2 linked regions of the Drosophila melanogaster genome follow. The protein of the gene in region 1 interacts with the protein of each later gene in a pairwise test. Each region holds a gene or a part of one and is shown in the gene's direction. Other genes may lie near its edges. The genes, in order: Kap3 and Apc.

Evidence for each region.
Region 2: the proteins of Kap3 (region 1) and Apc interact in a two-hybrid assay, tested with the Drosophila melanogaster proteins (one study listed by BioGRID).

Annotation. Positions count from the first base shown.
Region 1 is NC_004354.4:11,333,640-11,341,596, reverse strand, and holds Kap3 (kinesin associated protein 3), read left to right. Parts: upstream 1-2,008; 5' UTR 2,009-2,069; coding exon 2,070-2,383; intron 2,384-2,772; coding exon of another isoform or gene 2,773-2,807; coding exon 2,808-2,925; intron 2,926-3,734; coding exon 3,735-3,900; intron 3,901-3,953; coding exon 3,954-4,268; intron 4,269-4,333; coding exon 4,334-4,470; intron 4,471-4,533; coding exon 4,534-4,722; intron 4,723-4,787; coding exon 4,788-6,263; intron 6,264-6,344; coding exon 6,345-6,601; intron 6,602-6,663; coding exon 6,664-6,808; 3' UTR 6,809-7,410; downstream 7,411-7,957. Other genes in the region: CG34348 (uncharacterized protein), read right to left, coding at 852-990, 1,100-1,145.
Region 2 is NT_033777.3:28,841,722-28,846,868, reverse strand, and holds the start of Apc (APC-like), read left to right. Parts: upstream 1-2,120; 5' UTR 2,121-2,309; intron 2,310-4,585; exon of another isoform or gene 4,586-4,650; intron 4,651-5,147. Other genes in the region: spg (sponge), read right to left, coding at 869-902.

The DNA of each region.
Region 1 (7,957 bases):
TAAAAGTTGGCCGAGTCGATCACCTGCCGTTCGACTTGGCTTTTCATTTTCAGTATCGGTGCAATGGTCGAGGGTGTAATGTTCTTCAGGGGTCAGTGTAGTCAGTGCAGCCCAACTTGGCTATATTCCAACTATATATACTATCTAGATGAATATAATTCAAATATATTACTATCTGGTACACATATCAATCCTTTTTTTTAGATCGATAACAGCAGTTTTTACAACTGAAATCTAAGAACTCAAGTAATTGCTTTAGTTTCAAAAACTTTTTCGAGCTAGAAACACATGTAGATTATGCTTATCGTATTAATTTACTTAATTTGCAGAAAACGATCAATTATTGCTGAGCACTTTTTTTAATGCCCATAATTTCGATGATTCAACACATATTCACGGTTTGTCAAAATGTTAATTTCAGCGTTTTGGGAAACAGCTGCATCATAAGTTCCCTTAAAAACAGTGAAAACTAAGTTTATTGGACTATATTACGTTTTCTGTTTGCCTTATAGAGTGTCCACTGTATTCCCGTGCTTTGTTTTATCTAGCTTTTTTTGTTGGCAACACTGGCTGCCCAACTCTCTCCCACTCTACGCCCCTTCCTTACAACGCCATCTCTTTTTATGTTCCCTTTTAATTACAGGTGCAGAGCGGGACGGAAGACGCCGGCCAAAGGGGGAAGGGGTGCGTGGTAAGGGTGAGTGGGGGAAACTTGGCTCCAAAAGTGCGCGATCAGCATGAGAGAGTTCATTAACAGTTGCAATTGAGCCCGCGAAGCACACTGTAATTGTTGTAATTCCAATTTCCCACCCAACTTATACGCAGCTTTCCAACATTTCCATTTCGCTTACCTGTGCAGCTTGTAGATGAATAGCACCAGGAACGAAATGTAGATGAGGGCCACGAAGACCAGCGGCAGCAGAAAGGTGACAATCAGGGGGGTGAGGAAGCGATATAGCCATAGCGAATAGTCCAGATCGATGTAGGAGGCTAGAATCACAAGGTATGCAGTTGGTGGAGGGGCATTTGTTATGTATGTATGTATGTACATAGGTCAGCGGTGCGCCTTATCGGGCGCCAAATATTCGATATTACTCACACAACAGGGAGTGCAGCGTTTTGTACAGGTTCTCCAGAAATTCCATTGTCAGGCGCTGCTCCACCTCATTTGTTGTTCTTGCGCGAAAAGAGAAGCGACCGCCCACCACAACAAAAACACAAAAAAAAACGGTAGAAAAAAGAAGGGAAAATACGACAGAACAAAAAAAAAAAAAAAAAAAACAAATCGGTTTGGCCTGATTTTGTACACTTTCTTCGGCTCGCTTTGCGCTTTTCGAATTCTTTTCGCTTCCTCCTGCTTGGCGATTCTTTTAAATGGTCATCGTATAGTGCGTTTCATTTGAATCAGTATTTAGTATTTGCGCGGCTTGAAATGCATTTTATTTGCATGTTATTTGCTATTGTTATTGTTATTGTCAGTCGAGACTGTTTGCTGGTTTGTTTGTTGTGATTTTCCTAGCACAATGTAAACAATTCGCGGCGCTGCGCTCCACTCGGCTCACACGCAGTAGAGACAACCGACACCGTTCGCAGTCAGAAACATTGTGATCGCGCCGCGCTTTTTTTTGGTTAATAATACTACAAAGTAGCGATTCTTTTATTGTTGTTCCTTCATTCCATTTCGTTTGCTTTTCTGTTGCTCATCTACGTTCTTTGCACCTGGCAACGCCGGCCCAGCTGTTCTGGCTGCAGTCGTTGCCAGACTTTGGTTCTTGGCACCCAGAACAGAACAGTGATGCTCTCTTGGCTAATCACACCTGTTTCTAGCCGGTCAAGGAAGTTCGAGGAAAAACAAAGTTGTTAGTATACTGCATATTATGAATGGCAAGTTCCCAATTAGAATACAACCGCCAACTTGAATTTGAACATTCGCTTATTGGTTTGTATCGATTGAGTGCTATCGGTAATTGCCGGGTGCCGTGGCACCATCGATAGTACCGCCAGTGAGCAGACAGTTGTGCCAGCACTAGCACTTATCGACATTAAATCGGAAGTCGCATTGCAATCGCATGCAATTTGTTTTGTTATTAATTTTCCAAATAATCTCGGGCCTGGTGCTGCTGCCAATTGTGATTCACTACGTCTATTACATAATAAATGCGATTGCCGGCGATCTGTGCGAGCAGAAGAGAGCGCAAAGAGAGCAGCAGCTGCAAAGGAGCCCCACTCCGCGCCACCAAAACCGCCACCCCCCGCATCCGCCACCCACCGAAGAGGAGCCTGTGCTTTCCATAAACAATTTGACAAATTCTAGTCGCTCTCCGACAGCAGCAGCAACAACAACTGCAATGCAAACAAACGATGACGCCAAGTTTATAAAAAAGTGCGTATGTATGGGATTAGATCGTGCGTGCGTGCGTGTGTGTGTTTGTTTGTTTTCATGTGTGGGTGTACAAGTGGCCGAAGAACAAAAGAAATAGCTAAAGCACTCGTCATGCGTCAGAAAGAGAGCCACAATCACCTGGCGCTCTCTATTGATTTTCCACTTTGCGTTCACGCTTCCTCCTTTTGTTTTTTGTTATTTGCAACCGTTAATCGTTATTCGTTATTCGTTGGGTTCTTAACTTTTTTGTTCGTTTTATTAAAACAAAAGCACAAGTTAAGCCAGGCTCAAAAAAAGAATTGGATTGAAAAATCTATTACCTCATTACGCATTGAACCGCATAATTTATGATTGATCCAACAATTTGTCTCGCTCTCAATCCAAAACAAATGCAACGACAACAACAAACAAACAAACAACGAAGGAGGTGGAAAGGCGGATCCATTGAACCGCATCCCACGGATAAGGCGCTGATTGTCAACTACCAACTGGAGGCCACCGTCTTCGGGGAGCCCAACAATCCGATGATCGAGGAAAAGAAGGTAAGAACGCACGGTTACACATCGCTGCACTGGGAGAAAATGCTAGTAGATATTAGAAAATTAAAATAGGACCAGCATTATTGGTATCAAAGATGTTGATAGGGAAAGAATATAATAACAACAATATGCGAACATCTGTAACTTAGTTCTTAACTATGTTAGGTTCATAAAAAAAAAGGAAACAAAGTTGATCCTTAATCGAATAGGTTGAAAAATTGATCTAGATGTGTACACATACATATATTGCTTATTAGTTTAAATACTAGCAGTCATTGTTCTACAAAAACATCCGAATGAGTACTTAAAAAAGCTACTTCTGTTTCTTCCGGTGTGCCCCGAAAAGGGTTAAGGGGCGGGGGGCAGAAGCTGACATTGAGCGGCCCAATCGATAGCGCAACAACAACGGGGTCGATGACGGCCTGCGCTCCAAGTAGTGAGTGAAAAATGTAAAACCACAGCAACAAAAAAAAAAAGATACCCAAAAGCGGTTGGTTGGCCGGGTCTTTAACCTCAATTCACGTTTTTTGGCCGAGCGACAAGCTTATTTTTCGCCGATTGTTCACGACCATAAATATGTACTACATAAGTAAGTCTCTTATGTTTTGCTCTTGGCCATAAATATTGGCGACCAAAAAAGTTTTCAGCTTAGATGCGAAGTGGTTAATTGCCCTGAAGTGGTCCTAAACTAGTTCCTCAATCCTAATAATTACTCTATGTTTATAAATAGCAAAATAACAGCAAAAACAATTAGCCTAATAGTACATTATTTCAGTCGTTAACTAATGCATGTATTGTATTTAATCGCCCAGCACTGTCAAAAAATCATACGACTCCGTTCGCTGAACGCCAAAACGGATCCGGCTGCCTTGGCACGAGAAGTGGTGGAGAAGTGCGATCTCATCCACAAGTCCCAGCTTAATGACGTCGAGCAGATAATCTTTTATCTGAAGAATCGCAAGGATAATGCAAGCAATGGTAAGCAGTTAGATTGTTAGCAGAAATCCATACTAACACTCAGTACCCATTAGATATACCGGATAACAACACTCACAGCCGGCGATCGGCGGCGCTGCACACTTCGCACACCCGCTCCTCTGCTCGATCGCACAGCAGTGTGGCGGCCATGACCAGCAGCACCGGCAGCGGCGGAGGATCCACTGGAGCTAGCAATGGTGTCTCGAATGCCCTGAGTGCCGCCACGCCCACGGCGGATGTGTCCATAAACAATATCGATGAGTATGTGGAGCTGCTGTACGAGGAGCTGGGCGAACGCATTCGAGGCTCGGCCATGATCCTACAGATGGCGCGAAATCCCGATAATCTTGAAGAGCTGGAAAAGAATGGTAAGGATAAGTTTGCAGTTCTGTAGTTTTGAACCCAAACCCAATGTACTATTTCATCATTTTAGAAGCCTGCCTCAGCGCCTTGTCACGTGTTCTGCGCGAGGACTGGCGCAAATCCCTGGATCTCTCCACCAACATAATCTACATATTCTTCTGCTTTTCCACATACACCAAGTTTCATCCGCTCATTGTGCAATATAAGGTGGGAATAGAGTTTCTTAATTAAGTTCTAAGCACTCATTTAATCGTTGTTAATCTATTTCAGATTGGATCGCTGTGCATGGATGTGATTGACTATGAGCTGCGTCGCTACGAGACAATGAGAAATGAGCTGGACGTGCGCAAACAGCCCAATGGATCATCCACTCCACATTCGGCAAAGGCCAGCAAGGAGAAGCTGAACCGCAGCACCGACGATTTCCTGGACATCATGAACGAGGAGAAGCCCAAGGAGGTAATTTTATTTCTATAAGTTCTTGAAAAACATATCTATCGAATACTCAACAAATTCACTTTCAGATGGAGCCGCCGCGTCGTCGCATTCCGGAGCTAAAACAGCGTCCCAAGTCGGGCAATTGGAGCAGCTTTCACGGCTCCATGTCATCGTCGCTGATCAAGAGTCAGATCCTGAATAGCAGCTATCACGAGTCCCTTTGCGCCGGCGGTTCACCTGGCGGCGATACTCCGGCTGTGCCCGCTGAACAGAAGGCCCAAAGCAACGAGTCGCTGGACAGGAATGATCCCAAAGTGAAGAAGGAGGAGATCGATCGGCTGAACAAGCAGCTTAAGATCTTTGCCAAAAAGCAGGAGCAACTGTTGCGCGTGGCCTTCTACCTGCTGCTGAACATGGCCGAGAATGTTAAGCTGGAGGAGAAGATGCGCCGCAAGCATATCGTTAAGATGTTGGTCAAGGCGCTGGATAGGCAGAATATCGATCTACTCATGCTCGTCAGCACGTTCCTCAAGAAGCTATCGATTGTGGGCGACAACAAGGACGAGATGGGCGCTTTGAACATTGTGGCCAAGTTGCCACGATTGTTCCAGAGCACGCACACGGATCTGGTGCAGGTCACCTTGAAGCTGGTCTTCAATCTCTCCTTCGACGGCGGACTGCGTCGCAAGATGATCGCCGCCGGCTATCTGCCCATGCTGGTGATGTTCATCAACGATGAGAAGCATCACGGCATTGCTGTGAAAATACTGTACCACATGAGCTTGGATGACAAAGTGAAGGGCATGTTCACGCAAACGGAGTGCGTGCAAATGGCCACGGATGCCATAATCCTAAACCTCAATGTTAAAGTCGATTTGGATCTCATTGCCTTGTGCATTAATCTCTCGCTAAATCGCCGTAATGCCCAGATTATGGTGGAGGGCCAAAGATTGCATAGCCTAATGGATCGGGCCTTCAAGTACCAGGATGCCTTGCTGATGAAGCTGCTGCGCAACTTGTCGCAGCACGAGTCCCTGCAGCTGCAGTTCATCGACTATGTGGGAGATCTGGCGCGCATTTTGACCATCTGCGATGACGAGGCCTTCATAGTCGAGTGCCTCGGCATTTTGGGTAACCTGGCCCTCACCGATTTGGATTACTCGCAGATCTTGCAGAACTTCCAACTGATTCCATGGATTAGACAGATACTGCTGCCGTGCGCCAGAATGGACGACCTTGTGCTGGACACCATTGTTTACTTGGGCACCTGTGCCTGCGACGAGTTGTGTGCCCTGCTCTTCTGCCGCGCCAAAGTGGTTATATCCCTGATCGAGTTGCTTAAAGCGAAGCAGGAGGATGACGAGATTGTGCTGCAGATCATCTTTGTGTTTCAGCAAATCCTGCGACACGAAAGCACCAGGGAGTACATGATCAAAGAGACGGAATCGGCGGCCTATCTCATCGATCTGATGCACGACAAGAACGAGGAGATCCGCAAGGTGTGCGACTATTGCTTGGACATTATTGCCATAAGCGACAGCGAGTGGGCCAAGCGCATCAAGGTGAGTTGCTTGCCAGTCCAAATATGGCATATCTTAGTACAAACTTGTTTGTGTTTTCTTGTTCTCGTTGTTACATGGCAGCTGGAGAAGTTCCGCAACCACAATTCGCAGTGGCTGTGCATGGTGGAGTCGCAGCAGGACCAGGACAATGAGCAGGACTACGCCGATCAGGAGGACGAGTGCGACAATGATCTGGACACGTATCTGCGCTCCGAGTACTTGGACAATTGCGATCTCTACAACGACAATGCCGACAATGACAGCAATAGCAACAGCAACCATAGCAACAACAATCCGGCCAGCCCGGCCATGTCCACCTACAGCAGGCCACTGAGCACGTGAGTTTTGACCAAGTTTCCACTTCGATTCGAGTAATTAAGTGATAAATCACATGGTACAGCTATCGCCGCAGCCAGGATCTCGATGATTTGTACAACATGACCTCCAGTTCCAAGTCGCAGGGCTCCAGCGACAACAACTACATATTCAAGTCGAACAAATCCCTGGATGCCGATGGTCTGCACGAGGAGCTGCTGATGGCTTAAATGAGGAGAAAGGTCCTAACCCGAATCGATTGAATTTGAATTAAGATGCTTCTGCCGATTGCCCGCCCTCCCGTGTACATGTTTAGTCACTCTGCCTATTAACGACCTTCTGCTTGGATTTATTGGATATTTATATATATATATATATGTATACATATATACGACACCTTTCACGCTTGTTAGTCAAAGACGTTAAATGATTTTAGCGACGCGGCAACTTTGTACTCAAGACATTCAAAATGAGCAACGGCGCACAGACACTGGTTAGTTTAAGTTTGGTTACTTACTTATTGGTATGGTATTTTTTTGTTTGTTATTTATTAATATTTAATTTATTGAGGTCTTGTTTAAGTGCGATGTATGGCTTAGCTTCCACTTTGGTTGTTCGCAACGCAATTACTGTGCAATAATCTCTCACTTAAAGTATTACGTCGAACGTTTTTAGTTGTACTTGTTTTAGTTTACCGAACCTAAACTTTTCGTTTTCTCGAATATCTTACGAACAAAAGTCAAATTGTAATATTAAACAGTGGGCGACAAATGAAACGCCGACATAATGAAACGCCGAAGAATATAAACAAAGCTAATGTAAATGTTCACCTAGTTCGTATTGTTTTCTTTGGTTTTGTTGGCTGTTCAAAAAAAAAAAAAAAAAAGGGGTGAGTACTTTTCCCATTCCGCAGAGCTGTTTGTCTCGCCATTAAAATGCAACAATTTGAAATAATATTGGCTTTTAATTTTGTGTTACACAATAAGGAATATTAAGTTGCAGTTCGTTTCCGAAACATACTTATGACAGTGGCTAGACCGATCCGATAAACATGCATATATCTAGGTATGTATGTATGGTACGTGTATATATAAATAGAAGAATATGCTCTCTAGTTCACTTTATATATATATATATATATATATATATATATCGTGGATATCCGTAAGGCGAGGCCTTCTAGCGTTCAATGTTAAGCTTAACCTAGATATCTCCACTTCAGCTTCAGCATCGGCATCTCCCACTGATTGGTGTTCCGTTTCCACTTCGATTTGACTTGGATCGCTTCGCACATCTGCCGCAGTTTTTGCACTTAGACTATGGTTTTAACAAATTTTTACACAAATATCAGACACAGACATACATATACATATATAAAT
Region 2 (5,147 bases), on another chromosome or scaffold:
TACACAGTGGTAACCGTTTAAATGTAGACTGTGGTGCAGGCAAAAATATATTTGCTGTTTATTTATTCTGCTTAAAGCTTGATAATAGATATAATATTATAGATATAATATATATATCAAGAGAAACCAGCAACATATTCCAAGTAAAATGTGTAACGAGAAAAATAAAGTCCATAGCAAGCAAGTTTCGATTCTTGAGATCTTAAATAGTTTTTACCATGTGCACTGAAGCGTTTTTCTTTCCCATTTCTATATTCTATCTACCGAGTAGGTTTTATATTAGCATACTAGGAAATATAATTAAGATGTAGTTATTTTCAGATCAGAATCAGAGAAACGTTTCAAATCAAAATCAACCATATGAACTTGGACAAATATATATTTTGTCTGCGAAATAAACATTTTTTTAGGTGTTCGTAATTACGAAAGCATTTAAATTGGCAACACCTGGGCTGGGGGGAAATTGGCAACGCGACAGCCGAGCGCTGTGCGGGAAAACTGAGCGCGCGGAAAACTGTGTGTATAAACACATCAAATCGCAGCGCAGCGGCAGCAACAACAAACAGGGAAATCTCTTTGAGATACACTACACGCTGCATGGAAAGGGGGGGGGGGCGGTGCGGTGAACTGGGGGATGATGATGCTACAAACAGTTTGTGTACAAAAATAAGTAGAAAAGTCGCTTTTCCTCCCCGCTCGGTAACGTGCGGGGGTGGTTGGCATGGTATCCGGCGTTTCGCGGAAAAACGCGTGAATCGCCGCAAAAGGCAGCAATAAAAACAAAGGCCGCGCACGTGACGCCCAGCGGGGGGTGGTGGGTAGCTTGGAAAAGTGGGTGGCACACCGCCTACTCTTATTATTTACTCACCAACTCCGTATTTGTTGTTCGAAGGTATCCACATTTTGTCGCTGCTGCTTCGCTGCAAGTTAAGCCGAAAAAATCCAACTTAGCCGGCCACTCCTTGCATTTATAATTAATCAACGGTTTTTTGAGGAAACACCCTTTTCATCGGCAAATATCTGCATTTGAATTCGCATTTATAACGGCCAATATTTATCAACAATTTTTCGCAATAGCACACATACACACTCGTACACATCTACGCACTCAATAAAACTTTCGCTTTTGTTGTTGTCTATCTCCTTCTCTTTCTCGCACTTTATCTTGTTTAATAACTACAACTACAAGCAGAAAATACACTTGCTACATTGTTGTTGTCGCTGGAAGGCAACGATCGCGGTTCCAATTGGCAATGATTACCGCTAGGTGGAAGAAAAGGAAGTGGCTGATTGGGAAGTCTGGAAGTGGTGGCTTTGCTTTTGTTGCCTTTTTCACGGACCCGCGCACACACAAACAAGAAAATCAATACGAATTTGGGACTCCCAGCCGAACTTCCAATTGGATTTCTACACTGTGCGCAATTTAAATTGCTTGTCCCTTGGCTTCGCGAATTATTACCGTTGTTTTCTGCTGCACTTGCAACGCGTTTAATTTTCGCTATTTTTTGCGTTTTATTATTTTTCGCGTTCTCCGCTGCGCAGCTTCCCGGGCGCAGCAACAACAAATATCCGTCCGCCGCTCAGCTGTTTGAAGAACAACAACAAAATTCGGGATTCGTCGGCTTATATACGTTGCAGTGTGGCCAGTTGCTAAGCGATGGATTATTTACTATTGCATTTTTGAGGGAATTTTCATTTTAGCGGTGACGGTCACACCGGTATTTATGGTCTAGCTAAGACCCGAACCAATTCGCAGTTACAGTTTTGGAGGCACATTCATTCAATGTATTCAATAATTTAACAAACAAAACAATACCAAATCCGTTTTAATATGCAGTCCATAGCGTTGGTCTGACTCGGCCCCATTAACTCTATCCCATTTTTTTTTAAATTTTTTCTTTTAAATTAACGGTGTACGTATTACTTAACCGAGATATATAATGAATAAAATATAAGCACTAAATCTTTAAGGTTAGAAAATAAATTGCAGTATAAATATATTACGAACGAAGTAAATATTCAAGCGATATATATGATCCCAAGATATCGCTACATTCTCCCATCCCTAGCAGCTATTTCTTGTTGGTTTTTCGAATTCTCGATATAACAGTCACACTGCTCGCCGCGGTTGGTCGCAATTTTTGTTGATAAGCGGACTCGGAATTTCGGCCGCGCTGCGTATTTGTTTTGTCGCGAAACAAGCCAAGAATCCAAATAGTGGCAATATCTGTGGGCAAACAAGTGATAAAGCGGGAAATGTGTCATCTGGTGGGCGAGGAAGCTGCCGAGAAATTGTGTTTTTAGTCAAGGTACGCCAATCGGAGAATCTCTGGGTTCGTGTGTGTGTGGGAGTATAGTCGCTGACTCTTCCAATTGGAATTGTTCTTTTTGGGCCTGACAATAAAACGCAGAATGTTTACTCAATAAATGCGCACCATATACAGCTGGCGAATACAAATGTGTTTAGCTCAACTTGGAGCATGAGATACTCTTTAGTAGTTTCCTGTTCTCCTGCCGATTCCTTTTACAGGAAAAATCAATAAAGGTCCCAATCAGAACGCGACTGCGCCCTAGTGTGGGTGTGCAAAGTGCGTGCATGTGTGTGTCTATGTGTGTGAGTGCTCCTTTATCAGTTGGAAAACGCAGTGTGTTTCGTTTGTTTCGTTGTTGTTGTTTTCGTTTTAGTTTTCCAACAGCTGCAAGTGATTGTGGCACGCCTAATTGATAACTATTTTCGAGCACTTCCATTCAACTTCACCTCAGCATAATTAATCACCGCATTAAGGAAAATACGTTAATATCGGCACGCTCGATTGTCTTACATGCCCACAAACATGGGAGAAAAGGAAAACACAATTCCACACTGCATGCGCTCGTATTTAGTTTCCCTTTTACTTTTCTACAATTTACATAATCATCATCTCGCGGCGGCAAAGACACAAAACAACCGGGCAGCAAAACAAAAGTGGCGTTCATTAAACCAGCTCATAAATGCACACACAGAAATCATAAGTACATACATATGTACATATGTACAGTAGTTAGTATGTAGTTTCATTATTTAATGTTTTTGCGTACATTTCCCTGTGGTTTGATGGCTCGCGGTGTCATCATCTTTACCGCTTTTCCTTCCCCCGCAAATCTTCCATTCTTTTTTCTTTGATAATTCTGCCGCGAATATTTCGTATGCAAAATGTGTGCCAAGCCAAAAAACCGCACAGTGGGTGGGATGGGGCGATGTGGTGGCAAAATTGGTTATTAGCTTAATGGGAATTCACTTATTGGAGAAATATTTTTTATTTTTGCTATTCCCTTCTAATTGTAATTGTAATTGTACCATTTTTAGGGGAGGGTGTGACGAAAACCACCCTTCAGATCATCAATCTGCCAAAAAAAATATTTCCCTCTTTCAAATATTTCAACCTAGTATTCATTTTATCACAACAAATTACACTTTCCAAATTAGGTATTCATATGTCGGTTTAAAATAACTTTTAAGACCTTACCCTCTATAAGGTGATGAAGCTTTATCTTTCAAAATCCAAATCTGATCCACCCATGCTACACAAATGCTTAATTTATATGCATATTACCAAAAATGGAATTGTTCATTCTCATAATTCATTTAATTATGCAAATATTTGGATATACAATTATCAAATAAACACTTTTATTTATTCTTTTACACCTATCAGTTTAAGTAAGTGCTTAGTAAGTCTTACTAAGCAAGTGTTATTCAAGCAATAAGTCACATTTGTTTTTGAAATCTCGTTATCTCTGAAAGAAATAGAAACTGGGTGACTAAAAGTTTGTCAGTCTGATTCACTTTCTATCCGCTAAACTATGGCACTTGTATTTTATTTCAAAGCGTGGGGTTGTTTCTGTTTTCGCTAACTATGCGAACCAATTTAGTTTCCCAATACAGTTGACTCGAAACGCTTGGAGTCGAATTGTGTCCATTGTGCAGGGCTGATTCCCTTGTGCGACTCGCTGGCCGGTTAATGACACGAGGAGTCGTCTCTGGGGGACCGGGTACACGGCTCTTGGCTAGACAAGTGACGCATATTCTCGCATTCTTTGGGGTACTAAAAGTATCTATGTCGTATCTAGATACTTGTGTTTGTCTAATTCGCGGATCGTTGATTCATCGAATCGCTCTACTCTGCTCTGTTCGTCTTTCGAATTCTTGGCCTCGAGAGCACTGATATCGTGACTCTTGCTAAATGTTAATCGGTGGAGCCGAACTGTGTGCCTTATCAAGGCGGTGATAGTGCCGGCTGATCACATATTTTATATATTTGAGGCCTAGGCAAACAATCGATCGGCAATGATGAACGATGGCCACTGTGTCCAGTGCGGCATTCCAATCGAGTGGCTTGGATGGATGGATGCATTTCCGCTGTTACACAAGCGATTTGCATTTCACAGCCACTCAAATTGCGGTTACCACTTTTCGTTCGCCGGCTGTTTTCGCTCTTTACGCTGGTCGCAATTAAAATTTGATTAATTTGCCAATTGGAGCTTGAACAAGTCGACTTGTGCGGAGCCAGAACTGGTACACGACCCGGGTCATTCCCAATCCCAAACTCAATCCACTTGAAGTCTTGAATTGGATTGGGTACACAGTGAAAAAATGCTTGAAAATACAAGGTATCAAATCATTTGTTATATTCCTTTTCATTCGATATCTAAAATTATGCAGTAAATAAATTGTGCCATACTTTAAGACACTTTGTAGATTGATTTAAGAACCCCAAGGATTTATTTGACCCTTGATTAAAGTTGTGTAAATAACTTAATAGTGACCTTACGTTAGTTACGTTATTTTCTCTCTGTGTACATACATATTTATGCACTTCTGTCCGTCCACGCTCAATTTTACGCTACAATAACAGCTGAAAAAAAAGAAGTGCAGCACCAAATTGCATTTGCACATAATTCAACGGTAGCTCAAATGAGAAATATGTCTTGTGCTTATGGAGTGTGTGTAGCAACAACAATGAGAGCCGAGGCAATATAATATATCTGCTGAAAACGCATCTGTATCTTTCTTCATGCACTGGAAATTCCGCAAAGACGACGCCGTGTGCCGCTAACTTTCTAAAAAGATGCAGCGCCAGCTAATCATGATAATGACTTAGCTGCTC